Linked DNA regions of Arabidopsis thaliana. The protein of the gene in region 2 interacts with the protein of the main gene of each other region in a biochemical or structural test. Each region holds a gene or a part of one and is shown on either strand. Other genes may lie near its edges.

What was found.
Region 1: the proteins of STZ (region 2) and MPK3 form a complex in vitro, tested with the Arabidopsis thaliana proteins (one study listed by BioGRID).

Annotation. Positions count from the first base shown.
Region 1 is NC_003074.8:16,753,649-16,762,142, reverse strand, and holds MPK3 (mitogen-activated protein kinase 3), read right to left. Parts: upstream 5,573-8,494; 5' UTR 5,551-5,572; coding exon of another isoform or gene 5,359-5,550; 5' UTR 5,226-5,358; coding exon 5,068-5,225; intron 4,985-5,067; coding exon 4,855-4,984; intron 4,767-4,854; coding exon 4,629-4,766; intron 4,528-4,628; coding exon 4,195-4,527; intron 4,103-4,194; coding exon 3,919-4,102; intron 3,837-3,918; coding exon 3,667-3,836; 3' UTR 3,269-3,666; downstream 1-3,268. Other genes in the region: AT3G45660 (Major facilitator superfamily protein), read right to left, coding at 1-1; NAXT1 (nitrate excretion transporter1), read right to left, coding at 877-1,795, 1,872-2,389, 2,473-2,690, 2,791-2,890; AT3G45645 (uncharacterized protein), read left to right, coding at 5,359-5,550. UniProt on the Arabidopsis thaliana protein: Involved in oxidative stress-mediated signaling cascade (such as ozone). Involved in the innate immune MAP kinase signaling cascade (MEKK1, MKK4/MKK5 and MPK3/MPK6) downstream of bacterial flagellin receptor FLS2.
Region 2 is NC_003070.9:9,643,487-9,650,970, forward strand, and holds STZ (salt tolerance zinc finger), read right to left. Parts: upstream 5,838-7,484; 5' UTR 5,500-5,837; coding exon 4,816-5,499; 3' UTR 4,535-4,815; downstream 1-4,534. Other genes in the region: TAF4B (TBP-associated factor 4B), read right to left, coding at 1-16, 126-285, 370-420, 510-632, 712-768, 855-910, 1,003-1,141, 1,227-1,314 and 7 more. UniProt on the Arabidopsis thaliana protein: Transcriptional repressor involved in abiotic stress responses. Can repress the stress responsive genes DREB1A and LTI78. Probably involved in jasmonate (JA) early signaling response.

The DNA of each region.
Region 1 (8,494 bases), on a different chromosome or scaffold from region 2:
TATATATAAATAAGCCAATGAAACAACAACGAGAATGATTCAAACTGATGATCACAATATTTTTATTCTCCATGTGCAGCAGCCTCTAGTCTCACAAGAAAAACTAAAAAACTCACTGTGGTCGTTGCTGGGAGTTAAACTATCACTGTCAGCTTATTATAATATAACAGCATGTGTGAAAGCAAAACCTCGGTCAAGCTAATAACATTCAATAAGTCAACTTAACATGTCATGTAGAGGAATAACTAGCTTGAGAAAGACCAATTTGTCTTTTAGTACTAAGGAATTACATTAACAATGCAAGTAGCCCACAAAACAATCAACAAGTTATTGAATGATAATAGACTACTCACCGGGACAAGCTTTGATGCTACCGATGCATTATTGTTCATCCAAGATTCACCATATCCCCATTCATCTTAAGAAGAATAATGCTTTGTCATCCTATAAGTAGTAATCAACTTTTCTAGATTCTCCATCACATTCTTTGTCACCTGTTCCTTTTTAAAATGGTTGTCTTCCGCATATTCAGATTCACCATCTTCCTTAATCATAACTCCTGCAAAAATATTCACTAATGTCATGAGTGTCTCTGTCAAAGACAGAAAACATCAAAAAGCAGCCCGAGAATCACAAGATTGTTATCTTAGGCACTACAGAAGCATCACAAGCTCAACATCAATTGTGTTACTGGTTTGTACTCAGGAATCACAGAAACAAAACGATTATATTACCACAAATTTCCAAATCAATTCTACATATGAAAAACTGTTTTTCAATGGCTACAAATTGGAGATACTTTCAGACAAAGCTCTCTGTAAAGAAATGCAAATGATAACAACAAAGGACATGTTCTTTCTTTCTCCAGCTTAAAGATCAGTGAGAGACATTTGCAGCTTGCTTATGATCATCATCCTTGAGGTTTCTGTATCTGTATAGCCAAGAACACACAAGAAAATAGCCAAGATTCAAGACTCCTCCTATGACTAAAATCCAGTAAACATTGTCAACTCTTCCATGGTTTATGTCATCTGGTAACCACGCCGTGGTCCTTTGAATCAGATCTATCAAAGCAGTGCTTGTGTAGAAACATATCCCAATCACCACCGAGGTTATCGATGTTGCGGTGCTTCTCATAGACTCTGGAAACTCTTGATAGCACAGAGCTACATTCCCTGGGAAATGGAAGGCCTCTCCTGCAACCAAAAAACAAGAACATGGTCGGATTGATCTGAACTCGTAGAATGAATTATTATCCGGAATCAAATCCTTACCGATTCCTACTATGACTAGAGGAGGGAAGAGCCATAAGACTGACATGTCAGCAACAGATGATGATCCGAGAAAATGACCCTTCTGTACTATCTTTAATCGCTTTGCTTCAACTATGGCAGTCACAGCCATGCTTAGAATGTTGAACGCATGGCCTATCCCAACTCGTTGGAGCGGTGTGAGGTGCTTTCCCGTTAACTTTTGGTAAAATGGATAGAGAACCCTATCGTTGACTATGATAAATAGGCAAGTGGAGAGAAGTGTTATGACTTGGAGAGAGCCTGCAGGGATTTTGAAGCTAGGACCAAGCCTCCGGTCCATCACCAGACCTTGAAGAACTGTTAAGCTTAGTTGCATTGCGATTGGAGTGCTCAAGAATATTGTGGCTAAGGCGAGAGGGATGATTCTTATGACTGCTTTGAAATCTTCCACTTGTTGAACGCTGCATAGTCTCCATGGATTGCGAATTGTGCCATCTGGTTTTACCTCGTCTTCCTGTTTCAATGCTGCACGGTTAAAGAACCTGCGTATTTGAAAACTCATTAGAACGGCCTCTCAGTGCAAGAATGAAACTGCGGTTTTCGAGCCGGTTTTTCTACCTGAAACTCTTTGTGGGCATTGTGATTGATTCATTGTGGTAGTCTTTTTCGTTGGTGGAAACCACAGCTTTTCTTTTGCGTAATGCTGCGAAAATGACGCATAGTAGACTTGTGAAGGGACTTCCCAAAGGCTTGTCATGCTTGTAGAATCTTTTCCCCGAGACGAAAACCAAAAAACTGAAGAAATTAGCGGCTACAGACAGACCAAACCCAAGGGTCCAGCTGATATTGTCTTCGGTGTAGACAATGGCGGTTGCACTTATAGCTCCGGCTAGATATGTTGTGAAGAAAAACCAGTTGAAAAAGCTTCCTTGGTCTTTAGTTTTTTCATACTGGTTCGCACCAGCAGTTGCTAATGTGAACCGTGTCCCACCTGTTCCTATAGAGGCTAGAGTTATGGCCGTGTAAAGGACTCCGAGCTGGGTTTTCGAAGGAGACTGGCATAGTATTGAAGCTGTTTCGCAGGGTCTAGGTCTTAAAGTGTCAAGTGAAGCAGTTAGAGTCAGTAGAGCTACACCCTGGTCAAGAGTAGAATTAGTGAATTTCTGTTTCAGAGAGAAACTGATAAAAACAAATGTCAAGGACTCTTTATTAACTTTACCATAAGAGAAATGAAAGCTGAAACTGAGATAACAGGAATGGTTCCAAAGAAAGAGTCAGATGCAATGGCTGCAACAGCTGGAACCATACAGATACAACCACTAACAATATTAGCAATCTGAGCCGCTGCAATGCTCTTCACGTTGAATTCCTCGATCAGGTAGACGATCAAGTTAAGTAACCAACCCCACGCAGCTATTGTCAAGCCTAACAACGTAGCTGCACCATAGAAAGATAAGATAAATTCAACTTCTTCTTCCAAGCTCTAATGGTTATGAAGTTATGAGAAATATAAAAACAGAGAAACAGAATCTCTCACCTATCATAAACGGAAAGGTAATCCAACCTCCACCACGGCGTTTGGTGCTTGAATCTGCTGATATCGCTGTTTCTGCATCGCCAGTAACTGAACTAGCCATGTCTCAAAATCAAGCAGAAATCTTTCACTATTTTTGTCAACAATGGCCTGAAATTCTGAAACATATATACAGTATAAGTAATAATACAGCAATGATGACTTTCTCGGGTCCACGATATTTTATTCTCCATGCGCAGCAGCTTCAAATAAAGAAACATTAAGAAAGTAAAACAAAAACTCAAAGGTTTCCGTTGATGCAAGTTGAGCCATCACTGTCTGCTTCGTAACAGCCTGTGTGAAGACAACATTATTTCCAACCCAACGTTTTAGAAGTCAACTCTAAATTGTCAGACAAAGGATATTACAATATTACTAAAGAAAGACACATTTGTGCCTAATTATTGCTAAGGAATTGACCATTTCTACTTCAATAATGCAAGCTACCTAAAGCCAATCCCACTAAAATCTATTGAAAGTCATTGAATGAGAATAGACAACTCACGGCGACAGCATTGACTCTGGCTCTAGCTCTATAATGTCTCCCACAAATATTGAGGCTCTGTACATTACAAAATTATATTCTCTCTTCTCTTTGTTTACTAGGGAAGACTCAAGAGTATGTGAAGTAAAAAAGTCTATAGATATTCTTTAATAACTGGAGTACTTTACATTGGAGCTACACTTAATCACTAGCAGTAAATAACATGAACAAACAAATAAAAGTTACAAGATTACATATGTGGAAGAAGTACATGAATAAAAGAACAGGCAAAGATACTAAGTAGCCATTCGGATGGTTATTGGGTAATACCAGGCATTCACGGGGCTGCTGCACTTCTAACCGTATGTTGGATTGAGTGCTATGGCTTCTTGGTAGATCATCTCTTTTATCTGTTCCTCATCCAGAGGCTGTTGTTCGAACTCAAAAGAGAATGGCTTTTGACAGATTGGCTCATCATTCGGGTCGTGCAATTTAGCAAGGTACTGGTGATTCAGAGCTTGTTCAACTGCACAAGATGGTATTTTCAGTTTTTAATCAAAACATAGTGATGGTAAGAAAAACCAACAGAGAACATGTATGAAACTTACCAGTGATTCTTCTGTTGGGGTCAAACGTCAACATTCTGTCAACAAGATCAATGGCCATTGGGTTAACATGAGAGAAAAGTTTAGCTAAGGGCTGACGTGGGAAGTTGGGAAGTTGCCGGATGTATCTTTTCGCATCCTCATTGTGAGTAAAACCGAGATCAGATTCTGTCGGTGTGCCAAGCAACTGCAAGATTCAAACAAATTCATCACATATTCCGTGAAAAGGCAGAATCTTTAAACCATGCTAAAATTACATAACTCTCTAAAATATTTTACCTCTGTCAATAAGCGCATTTGATGAACATGGTCTTTACCAGGGAACAAAGGCTTTCTATTCATAAGCTCCATAAAGATACAACCAACAGACCAAACATCAATAGCAGCTGTGTAATCTGAAGAGTTCAACAGAAGCTCAGGTGCTCTATACCATCTCGTAACAACATACTCAGTCATAAAATCATTCTCTGAAGTAGGTCTAGCAAGACCGAAATCACAAATCTTTAAATCGCAATTCGCGTTCAACAGAAGATTGCTCGGCTTTAAATCCCTATGAATAATGTTAGCTGAGTGGATATACTTCAGTCCTCGAAGTAGCTGGTACAAGAAGTACTGTTTCCATGACAACAAAAACACCAAATCAAGTATCAGTTTCATGTCTCTTCTATCAAATATAAATCCCAGAAAAAAGCCAAGAACAGTTTTTAGTTTACCTGACAGTGTTCTTCTGATAAACTCTGGTTAGATCTGATGATTTGATGAAGATCAGTATCCATTAATTCAGTAGAGATATAAACATCACTGAACTGTCTTCTTAGTGGTGGTGGAACAACATCTCTTATAGCTATAATCTGTTGCAATACCAAATCAAAAAACCCTAATCATGATTTATTTACTAATTTCTACAGATATTTCACAAAATCGAACAAAAACACTAACGTTTTCATGATCAAGATGACGAAGAAGCTTGATCTCACGAAGCGTACGCTTAGCATCCATATGATTATCAAAAGCATTAGCTATCTTCTTCATCGCTACTAGCTCGTTCGTCTCCGTATCCAACACAGAGCTTCACAAAATCAAAATCCAGAAATTAAAAACTCCGATCTCAAAGAATAAAACTTAAGAAAAAGCTCAGAGAAGGAAACATACCAAACGATTCCATAAGCTCCACGACCAATTGGTATAATCGGAGGACGATACTTAGATGTGATCTCGAATAAACTACCGAAGATATCGTAACTTATGAACTGTCCTCCGTGAGTTTCCACCGCCGGAAAATCCGTGTATTGGCCACCGCCGGTGTTCATTTCTCTCTCAATTGATCAAAGTCGAGATTCAGTGGTTGCTTTGAGGTTTGAAGTAGTGAATCTGAAGGTATTTGTATGGTTTTATATAACAGTCGGAGTCAACAGAGAGACTGAGATTGAGGATTGAGCAGAGATGAGTTTTCGCGGTAATTGCGAGGAAGAAGATGAAGAAGAAGAAGAAGAGAGAAGAGGGAAAGGCAGAGAAGATCGTGTGGTTGAGATTAGAGCCGCCTCAAATCGACGGTTTCTGTTCGTTGTTGACTTCGTCAACGTTCTTCCTCTTCCTAACGTCCTTTACGGTTCTGTATCTATCTATCTGCCATAGTTAAATAATGACAATAATAGTGTGGGGATTTTAGTAATTGTAATCTTAATTGGATCATATTCGTTTTAATACGATCAATAAATTAATTAATATACTCGTTTTATTCGTTCAGGAATTAAAATTTTGTATTGTTTTACGTTACGTAAAATTATATAACACTCGTTTTAAGTATTGTATTTTATGCGATTAATTTATTATAAGTATTGAATATCATGTGTGGTTTACGATGGTTAATAATATTATTATTATATAGACTAAATTAGTTTAAAAACAAAAGATACTATTCAATTATGATTTTTAAGTAAGCTATTTTCGATCAGAATTTTTTTATTCTCTTCTTTCTCTAAAATTTTGAGAAAAAGAAAAAATTCTTTGTTTCGTATGCCTTCCCGTATGTTTGTGAGGTTGTGTTCGGACATGGTCCAACTTTTTGTTTCAATACCGTACGGTGAGTTCTAGTTATAGTTACCGGTAAATCCGGTTTTATCGTCGCCGTTCTTTGGTATTTTGCCTTTATTTGTCTTTATTTCTAATAAACTTATTAAGTTTCTTCATTACGAAGAAAAAGTGGAAGTTTAAGAGTTTCGGCTTCATAAGCCTTGTCGTTCAAATTTTGTAGTAGTTTCACTTGATGGGCATGGCGACGTTAAGTCTCACCGGAAAATCTTTTTGGTTGCTTACGTCATTGTGATGCTTCATGCTACTTTGGAATGGTGGACGCTTTCCTTCATATGAAAGAAAGTTTCGTTCGTTTGTTAAATCTGAGTTTAATTTCGTTTGGAAGAGGAAGACTAGATGTGCAATTTCTTTAGAGGGTCTTCAGTGCTCTACTTGAAGCTTCTGGTTTTGCGGAGTGAACGAACTTTCGGTGGGTAGGCGTTCTTCGATCTCAGAAAACATGCCGGCAGTGGTTGGCATTCTCGACAAACACGTTCTTCTCGTCACGTGTCTGTGATTTCCTCATGAGGCGACACATGTCTCTGTGTTGTATGGCTTTCTTATCCCTTCCTCGATGGGTTACTATATTGGGCTCGGTTTGACTTTTGTTGTTGGACTTTTGTTTTAAGAAGGCTTTGTTTTAAGAAGAAAGAGATAGCAAAATAGGCAAAATCTCTATTTGCGCAAATTGGTTTTGGAGTTGAGAAGCGGATCTTTGTGGTTACTTTTCGTTAGGATATCTGTGTAAGAGGGCCTTGCAGAAGTTTTGGATTGATTGGATTGCACTCATGGCTCCATCAGATCGCGTGTTAAGTGTAAAGGTTCCCCGAATGGGGATTAAGTGAGAGATTCAGTTTCTCCCTTTTTAGTATCTTATTTTCTTTTGAGATTTCTGTAAGATTTACTCTTTCAATAGTTCATTGTTAGTTTACAAATTTGATTCGTCTTTTACCGACCAACATATACCATTTCATTTCCAATGAAAGCAGACAAGATAAAGCAGAACTTGCAGATTATGAAAATGTTCAATTCTGAGTAGATGAAAATTAAAGGAGATTATCTATATGTGTTTGATAATTTAATATCGTAATGCTCATTAGCCTATCGAATTCTGTAAGTGGAGTTTTCCACTATTGTAACACTTTGTTGTTATATATCAAAGCCAACACTTATGAAGAAAAAAAAGTAAGCTATTTTCGAGTTCGAACAAGATATTAATATTTAGTTTACAAATTCCTCTAAATAATCGTATGCGCTATATAATTTATGTTCCAACATTATCGTTAAAAATATTGATTTTGTTATGAAATTTATTTAAGTTAGAGTTCTATTTATGTTAAGGAATAACGATGCATCGTTAAACTTCACTGGATTATAACCTTCTAAAACTATTCCAAAGTCATCTAAAAGTGATTTCAAATACTTAACCTTATCAAAACAATGATTGTTTAAATTAGTTCTAAACTTTAAATCGAGTACTTCCTAGATGGACAAACGAAAATCATTAGGTACGGGCAAAATCGAAAGCTTATAAAGAGCTTCCAAATGCATGTGGATGATATTTCCCTTATGAACACTCTTTTGAAAAGAATGGCCTAGTCGTTTATTCCATTGTTCATCTGTAGAACGTTTAAAAGCTTGAAACTTGTGGACTGTTCAAAGGTTTTGAAGCAAGTCTCCATTGCAACAACTTAAAATGAGTTCTTCTTTGTTACATAAACTAATGATGCATGAGTGTGTTCTATCACTTTGTTACTTTTTCAGCTTAAAATAGTTTATCCCATATTCTTTTGCTTATTACTTTTTTTAGCTGTATTTTATTTTGAACATTGAGTTACTCTTAGATACAAAGATATATATGAAGGATAGTATTCGTGTATGTTTATGTTTTAATTTACGAGTAAAATATTTTCTGAAGTCACATGTTTGAGTTTTGTTGTGTACAGTATTCTTATTTGTAATTTGTTCTTAATCCGGTACTTAGATCATCATAATTTATAGAAAAATAATTATTTTGATGAAATTTCATTGTATTAGACGATTAGTTTTATAAAACTTGTAACTAAATTTCTAAATTTTTAGATTTATTTCCACATGATTTCTGAAAATATCGGATATGTAGAAGAACAAAAATTAAAATATAATCATTGGGTTGAAATAAAACCACCACCAAATTAAATCAGTCTTTAACCGACGCCAACCAAAAATAATCGAACCGGAGATAGTGGCAGATCCGTAATAAACTAATAATCTAAGGGCATAGTTAATTCTTCTTATTAGGCAATCGTGGATCTAGAAGCGGCCAAAATCTCAGCCATCCAATCTCTCTCACTTGTTGTCTCTTGCAATCTCCCACTTCTCTCAATCTTCTTCATCTTCCACAATCTCCGATCGAATCTCTCTACTCAGCCGTATGTTTTCACTTCTCTCGTAATTGACTCTTTCATGTTGGGATTTGAATCGCCGAATCTCAAAACCCTAATTCTGGTGTTTCGATTTTAGTTCC
Region 2 (7,484 bases):
CCAAATTGTGTACCACCTACATAAAGTTCGAATATGCAATTAGGAGCACGAAACACAAGAATAACCAGCAACAGAACTGAGAGATTTACTCTTTCAGATCATAGAAACGGGATTACCAATCTTACCAGAAAGTTTCTTGGAGTTTCTTCCTGGCCCTGGAGAAGATCTCTGACGTGCTTCAGCCATAAGTTTCCATTTTGAAAACCTATCATCTCCTCCAACGGCTGCACGAACAGCAACATTTGCAGCCTTGGCTCTCTCTTTATCTTCGTCCTTCTTATTTGCCTGACTTGTGATCAATAAACCTCTTTCAGTGTACGTATGTGTATATCTCCAAAGGTTTAGGTAGTTGGCTCAAGTTCTAAATACCTTCACTTCGTTTGAACGTTGGTCTTCTTTTTCAGTATCATTTTCTTTGTTCTACATCAATGAATATACAAAAAAAAAAAACTAGACATTACTACTGATAACTAAGACAAATAGATATTAAGCTCAGGACAAACCATTACCTTTTCTTCTCCAGAATGTTTCTTTTCCCATTCCTCTTTCACCTTCTGATTCATTTCATTAATTTCTTTCCGGATATCAGATGTGATAAAAGTCCGATTTCTACACTTCTCTGCATCAGTCCGCTGCAAAAGCTCTTGTAACTTCAGAAAGATTTAGGTACAACAAGATCTAAGGAGGCATGAGAAGAGAAAGTAGACTGACCTGCTTTGATATTCGTATTATATTAAACAGTAGTCCTCGCATCCTCTCCTCCACACACTGAATGCGCAAAGCCATGAGAAAAACGAAAACAAAAACAGGAAATTGAAGGCTAATAATTCCAAGAAAAGGTGTTAACATCTCACCAGAGACAAGCACCGCTCTACATCATGGTCTATATGCTTTAAACCACTTTTTCCCACTGTCATATATGAAAGCATACATAAACTTCTTCTCCAAGTGATTCCAAGTAAGGACCAAAGAAGCAGCTAAGATACGAGTTGAAACACAAACTAATTTCTGTCAGCTTTCTCTGCAGTGGAATTTTCTGCAAAAGCGTTCTTTCTTCCTCTCCATGCACAAGTCTTCGATATGCTTTAGAAACACGATCGTTCTTTTTAGGACCAGAATCTAATAATTGTTTTTCCTCTTCCTAGAACAGATGCAGAAAGTAATTTGGTTTATTGTTTCTCTATATCCAGGTTCAAAATGAGAAGTGTAGCAACTCGTAAACATACCCTGAGATTGATGCCACTGACTGCAGTGACATCATTAAACTTTTCAATACTTTCATCTGAAGAAGTCCCACATATTTTTTGCTTCTTTCTGTATATTAAAAAATACATAAGACTTCAATTTAGCAATTCTAAATTGTTAGTAAGGTAAAAAGGATATTATCAGAAAAGCAAAGAAAAAAGGAAGAGTAATTTATGGACGCTGTAAGTAGTTCATCTTTCACAAACCAGCCAGCTCATTACCTTGATGGTGGCAGCGAAGAACCTAGTGCCTCAAGAGGTTTCTTCTGACCAACAGAAGGCATTTTGGGTGTCACCGTAACATTAGCAATCTTGGGAATGGTCTCAGATGGGGCAGGCATATTAACCTGAAGTGTACACAAATAATTTTCACGTAAGATAGATAGTCCATTTACTCTTCACAACCAAAGTTCGAAGCCAGTACAAGGAGAAATAGAAGCCAGGGTGGTCCAAAATATAAGCAAAACGAAACCAAATGCAACATCGGTTGAAGAGAAATGGTCCCCCTATGAGCTTAAAGAGAAGATCAACCAAATTGAAATCTGTCTTTTGAAAGTATAATTTATAAGTTACCATCGTGCTAGAGTCCAGCTGTGTTGTCATTGAAGGAAAAACAGAGCTGGCAGAAGTGGTTGATGTGAATAAACCCATTTTAGAAGACTGCTTCTCCAAGTCATCATTTGAACTAATTGGAATAGCATTCTTCTGTTTCAGTGGAACATTAGTCACGCCTTGCTGCACCAAATAACGAGGTTTATGTGCCTGTTCAAAACTTTGATCAATCAATTTATGCTCCACATGGATCACTGATGAAGAAGGTCCCACTGTATGGTCCTTGGTGACTGATCCTTGCCAAGGAGCAGAATATAGAGGAAAGGATGAGTTCTTTGGGAAGTCGGATATAGGACCATCCTGAACCCTACTTGGACCATTTACAAAAGTTGGCCTCTCAAACTTGGGTACTGTCGTCATGTTTATTGTAGACTTGGTTGGTCCTCCAACACTGGCTATTCCCACATTCTGATTGTTTTCCCTATGCTGGAAATCAGGGAGCTTTGCTCTCGATGATGAACCAGGAGAAGTGACATTTGTCCCTGGGTATGGATTAAGACTTCCAGATTTGGTATCCATATGAAAAGAACTTGATGGAAGCTGCATGTGTTGCTCGGGATGCTTATTTAATCCCTGCACAGTAGTTGAACTGTTTAAGGTGCCTGAAGTTGTAGAAGACAGTTGGTTAACATGAACTTCACGAGGATCAGATTCTTGAGCAGTGAATTCTGCAGTTAATGATTGTATCTGGGATTAGTTTTGTATGCTACAAGGAAATCATAAGATAAGATCTACCAGAAAGTTAAGATGATCTATGATAATTGCAAAAGTAAATGGCATCAACTAAATAAGTTATACCAGCAGATTTAGACACTTTGTCATGGTTTGAGCGTCCAGGTACTTTGATCCCCATATTTCCCTGGTTACACATACAGTTCATTCTGAAACCAGTAAGCCACAATTCCAAGACAAGAAGTATTCAGCTTATACTATTAAAGTGAGAATTCTTTATGTTATTTCCTTTTTAATAAGGTTCAGAAGTGAGATTTCTTTCTCAGCACATGTTCATATACAGAGAAGGAAGCATATAAAACAAGAAACTCTCTTGGAGGCTGCTAAATGAAAATCATTAAAGTACTTATAAATGCTAAGAAAATGGAAAGGGTAATACCGGTTTTAACTGAGGCAGTTGGCTAATTACCGATCTGATTATCTGATCACCTACAAGATCTCTCAGTTGTCGCATGAACTCTTCCATTGTAAGTTCTTTTCTCTGCAATCAAGTATGAAAAGAAACGTAATGTATTAAGAAACTTCGATCAGAGTGCCAATTCATTCATGGATGTAAACTGTAAAGCCACACCTTGAGTTTATAATGCAGGTTAAGACAATGCGTCTTTTTGCCGGGTTGGTGGTCTACCACGGTACGAAGCAAATCAGTAACTCGTGCTAATCTAAGATTATGATTCACAGGGTCAACAGTCTTTTCCACCCAAGGAGTCTCTTTGCTACTCATCTTCTGCAGTTTCATATACCGAGGTTGCGGTTTTTCTGATTCATTACCAGTAGTATTGTTTATAGACTTCAAGTTACTTCCTTGGGGCACATGAGTTCAAGCACCAAAATCAATTATGAGTATGCTCTAATATTTTTCTATGACTAACCGTCACTAAAGCATCATCAAGAACTAACAATCTAATTGCATCCATCAACATTCAACAGTTAACATCAAGTGAAACATGAAGATACATGACAAACCACAAAAATACGACTCGTGAACCTAAATCACTAAAGAAATCTAAAGGCATTTCCCTGTTTTGATACATTCCACAGTTTCGCATATGAATTTTAGGGTCCAAAACGAACCTTCAATATCTCGAATCAGAGAGTCCTGAAACATTTGCAAGTCATCTTCCGAATGCTTAGAGTCAACCTAACGACACGATTAGCGGGAATCGACATTTAGGAGCTTCGTCCACAGAACAAGATAGCGCGTGGATTTTCGCAGACAGTACGGAAATGAAAATGAGAGTGGGAAATTCGAAACCTAACCTCTTCGTCTTCTTCGAGGAGCTTGACAATGGAGAGATCCATGGAGGAATCTCGCGGTACCAAACGTCAATAGCTCAAAACGAAGAGGGAATTTTCAAGGAAACGATTTGTTGTATCCAATAAGATTCCAAATTCCGCAAGTTTTTATATAAAGGGAGATTCTGCGAGAACACCGTGTCGTTTTTTCTTTTTGATAAAACACTGCGCGCCGTTCTGTTGATCTTCTTTTCGGTAGTTGTTTCTTTTGGATAAAACACTGCGCGCCGTTCTGTTCTTCTTTTCGGTAACTGGGCTTGTTCTTGTATATCAAAATTTATTTTTCTTGAATATAATGTTGGAGTTCTTAAACAGTTATTCATATTAGCATCAGACTTTTGCAAAAAAAAATTAATTAACTTTTAGATGAATTTTGATACACGTTTATGACCATTGAGTTTTGGACTTCCCGTAGATAATTCACCAAATTAAAGAAGGGATTATCTACGTTAATTAAACAGTGCTACTAAAGAAAACAAACGACCCGTCAAGAAAGGCTTTTTTCAATTGAAAGTTACGGTATTCTTTTGGTAAAAGAAAAATGAAAGTTGAGTTTTCTTTGGCAGTCTTCCGTAAGATATCACAACTCTTTTTATTTGCTTAGAGCTTTCCAAAATATAAGAAAGAACAATATGTGGATGGTAGTAGAAACTAGAACGTTCTTGATTATGCTTAATTGTGTTATAAATTTTTTGAAAAAAACAGAACCAAAAACAGAGTTGTAGTGGTGTCACTTTATGCTTATTCAGATAAAAAAAAGACTCAACGCGTTTGTAAAATATGTGGTAAAGAATCGGTTTAATAATTTTTAAAATGAAAGAACAAGAAGAATTGGAATCAGTCAAAGTCCAATTTGGTATGTACAGTCAACAAATTCCTACACAACTCTCAACAGTATACAAACGAAATCTTATCGTCTAAGTAAATTTCCTTAAAGTTGAAGTTTGACCGGAAAGTCAAACCGAGGCTTCTTCGCCGGCATAGGGCTCATGACTTCGTCGTCTCCGTTGACCATCGAGAATTCAGGGATCGGAGGGATGTTGAGGTCAAACCCACGGTGGCTACTGCTAACGTGGCTAGTGGACCCCGCACCTTCGGAGTTGGACACGCTACTAGTGTTGATGTTGTTGTTTCCTTCGTAGTGGCACCGCTTGTGTCCGCCGAGAGCTTGACCGGAAGGAAAAGACTTGTTACAGATGGTGCAAACGTGTGATTTCCCACTTCCAGTAGTCACGGCGGATGTGGTTGTCGCCGACGAGGTTGAATGATCATCTCCTCCGCCGGAGAGAGTCTGTGATAAGTTCTTACGGTGGCTTGCCTTGTGACCACCGAGAGCTTGGTAAGAAGAGAACGTCTTGTCGCAGACGCTACACTTGTAGCTCAACTTCTCCACCGCCGGAGGAGGAGGAGGCTGACGGTTGTCGCGAGCGAGAAGCATGAGGCAAAAAGCTAGATACTCTTCCTCAGTGAGGTTTTGGTGGTGGAAATCGGATCTTGATCTCTTAGATCGCTTACCCTTTGTCCAGTGCTCGACTCCATGGAAGACTGAAGAATCTTCGAACAAAGGAGGAATCGGAGAAGCTAATCTTGGTGATGTAAGAGCCTCGAGCGCCATTAAGTTAAAGATTCTGAGGATTTCTTGTCTCTCGAGTTTTAGTTTGAAGGTTGCTTGTGAATTGCAGTGAAGAAATTGTTTAATTGCTGAAGAAGAAGTAATGAAAGTGTGTGTAAATATATAGTAGTAGGTGGAGTGTGGAGAAGGAAGTTGCGTGACAAGTGGTAGGAAAGTGTGAAGAGTGAAGGTGGCGATTAGATAATTACTATATTTTTCTAAAACTCTTTTTAATATGCGGACCAAAGTTGTGATGAAAGTATCTAGATGTTTTTTTGGGGGTAAAGAGAGGAAAATAATTAGGGCACGTTTGGTTTGACCTAGTACACGTGTGTGTGTGTGCAAGTGGTGTTGGTAAAATGAAGAAGAGGTCGGCTATAAGACTTTTCCTTCATTACTTAGTTTACTAGTACTGATGCCGCCTTACAAAATATTCTAGAGTTTCTGTGGTTTCTGGTCGTTGTCATGGATGGTACTCGTATGGTACACGTTTCGGTTTACTTTAAGATAGATAGATAGTTATAACTTATAACAACTAACCAGTTGACAAAAAAAGAAAGAAAGTCTATAACAACTAACCAATATTGATTTGGAAAGCATCTTCGGAAATATCTATCTACAAGATCAATTCATTTCGAAAACGTTTTTCTTCTTCTTACTTTTACATTAGAAAATTGAGCCATCACTTAAATTAGGTGATATATGTAAAATAAAACGTTGGCTAGTTTTAGACTTGCTTTGTCTAAAGAAACAATTTAATGGTTCGACCTTGCTCGATGGTAAAATAAATTCTAAAACAGCCTAAAAGAAAAATATTCGTCTGATATTTACCTGTTTTTTTGGTTGGGTATGCAACCATCAACCATGATTAAAGAGAGGAATAAGAATCTAAATGCGGAAATGTATGTATTACCACTCAAAGCTTTTGAACAGTTATTCATATTGAAAAGGTGGAGGTAATTTAGGACTAATAAGAGGTCTGAGACGGTGCATGACTATTATAAAAGAAGACTATTTCAAGTTTCCACAGTCAAATAAACAAAGCTAAATGCAAGGAGCCAACATTTTTGGTACAACTATACTAGTGATAGATTAATATTATATTTATGACAGTAAGATGTGGGAGACGAACTACATTTGACTAAAACAAAGAGCAACGACATTTGACTTCTTCACGCGGCGCTCTTCAAAGTTCAAACCGGACGGTTTACTCTTTATTTGACGCAAACAGTTAACCGGAAACAGCTAGTGTTACACCAAATTTGGTGTGATATTGCATCACACTCATGTCACTTTTTAGTGTTCTTTGGAAAAGTTTTTTAGTGCAAAACTTTACTAAAATGATGTTTTAATTAGTGTCCCACTAGAAATGACTTAGAATAATCTGAAGATGATGGACCTAAAATTCAGATTACTGAATTCTCTGGAAAATCACAAAATTTCATCTTGAACAAACGGGGATATTTATTATTTTTAAATATTTTCTGTAGTAATTTTTTGTGTAAGTTCTTCTAAATTTTATTATAGTTATTGATAATCTAAATGTAGTATATTTGAAAAGTCATAAATTAAAGGAGTTTTTGGTAACACGTTATCCAAATAAAGACAATAATACGGATTTTATATAACGCGTCAAGAAATATGTATACATATATTAATTAAGCAATTGGATGTATCTGCTACAAATTCTCATGGGAGGCTGATGTAATCATGATATCTCGAATTTGAATTTTACTTTCTGCATTATAAAACATGTGTGTGGATTACTAAAGTGTCGTCGTGGTATTCATCATGTTATGTATGGATTGGATCCAGGTTCAAAACAGTGCACGTAAGACACATTTTGATGTGTATATAAAGGAAAACATGAAACTTGTGAGGTGGATATATGTGATGCAGAGAACCAAAAATGTATCTGTCGGCGTGTCATCATGCATGGGTCACGCATTGCCTTCTGGATAAAGAACACTCTCACTCACACCAAACTT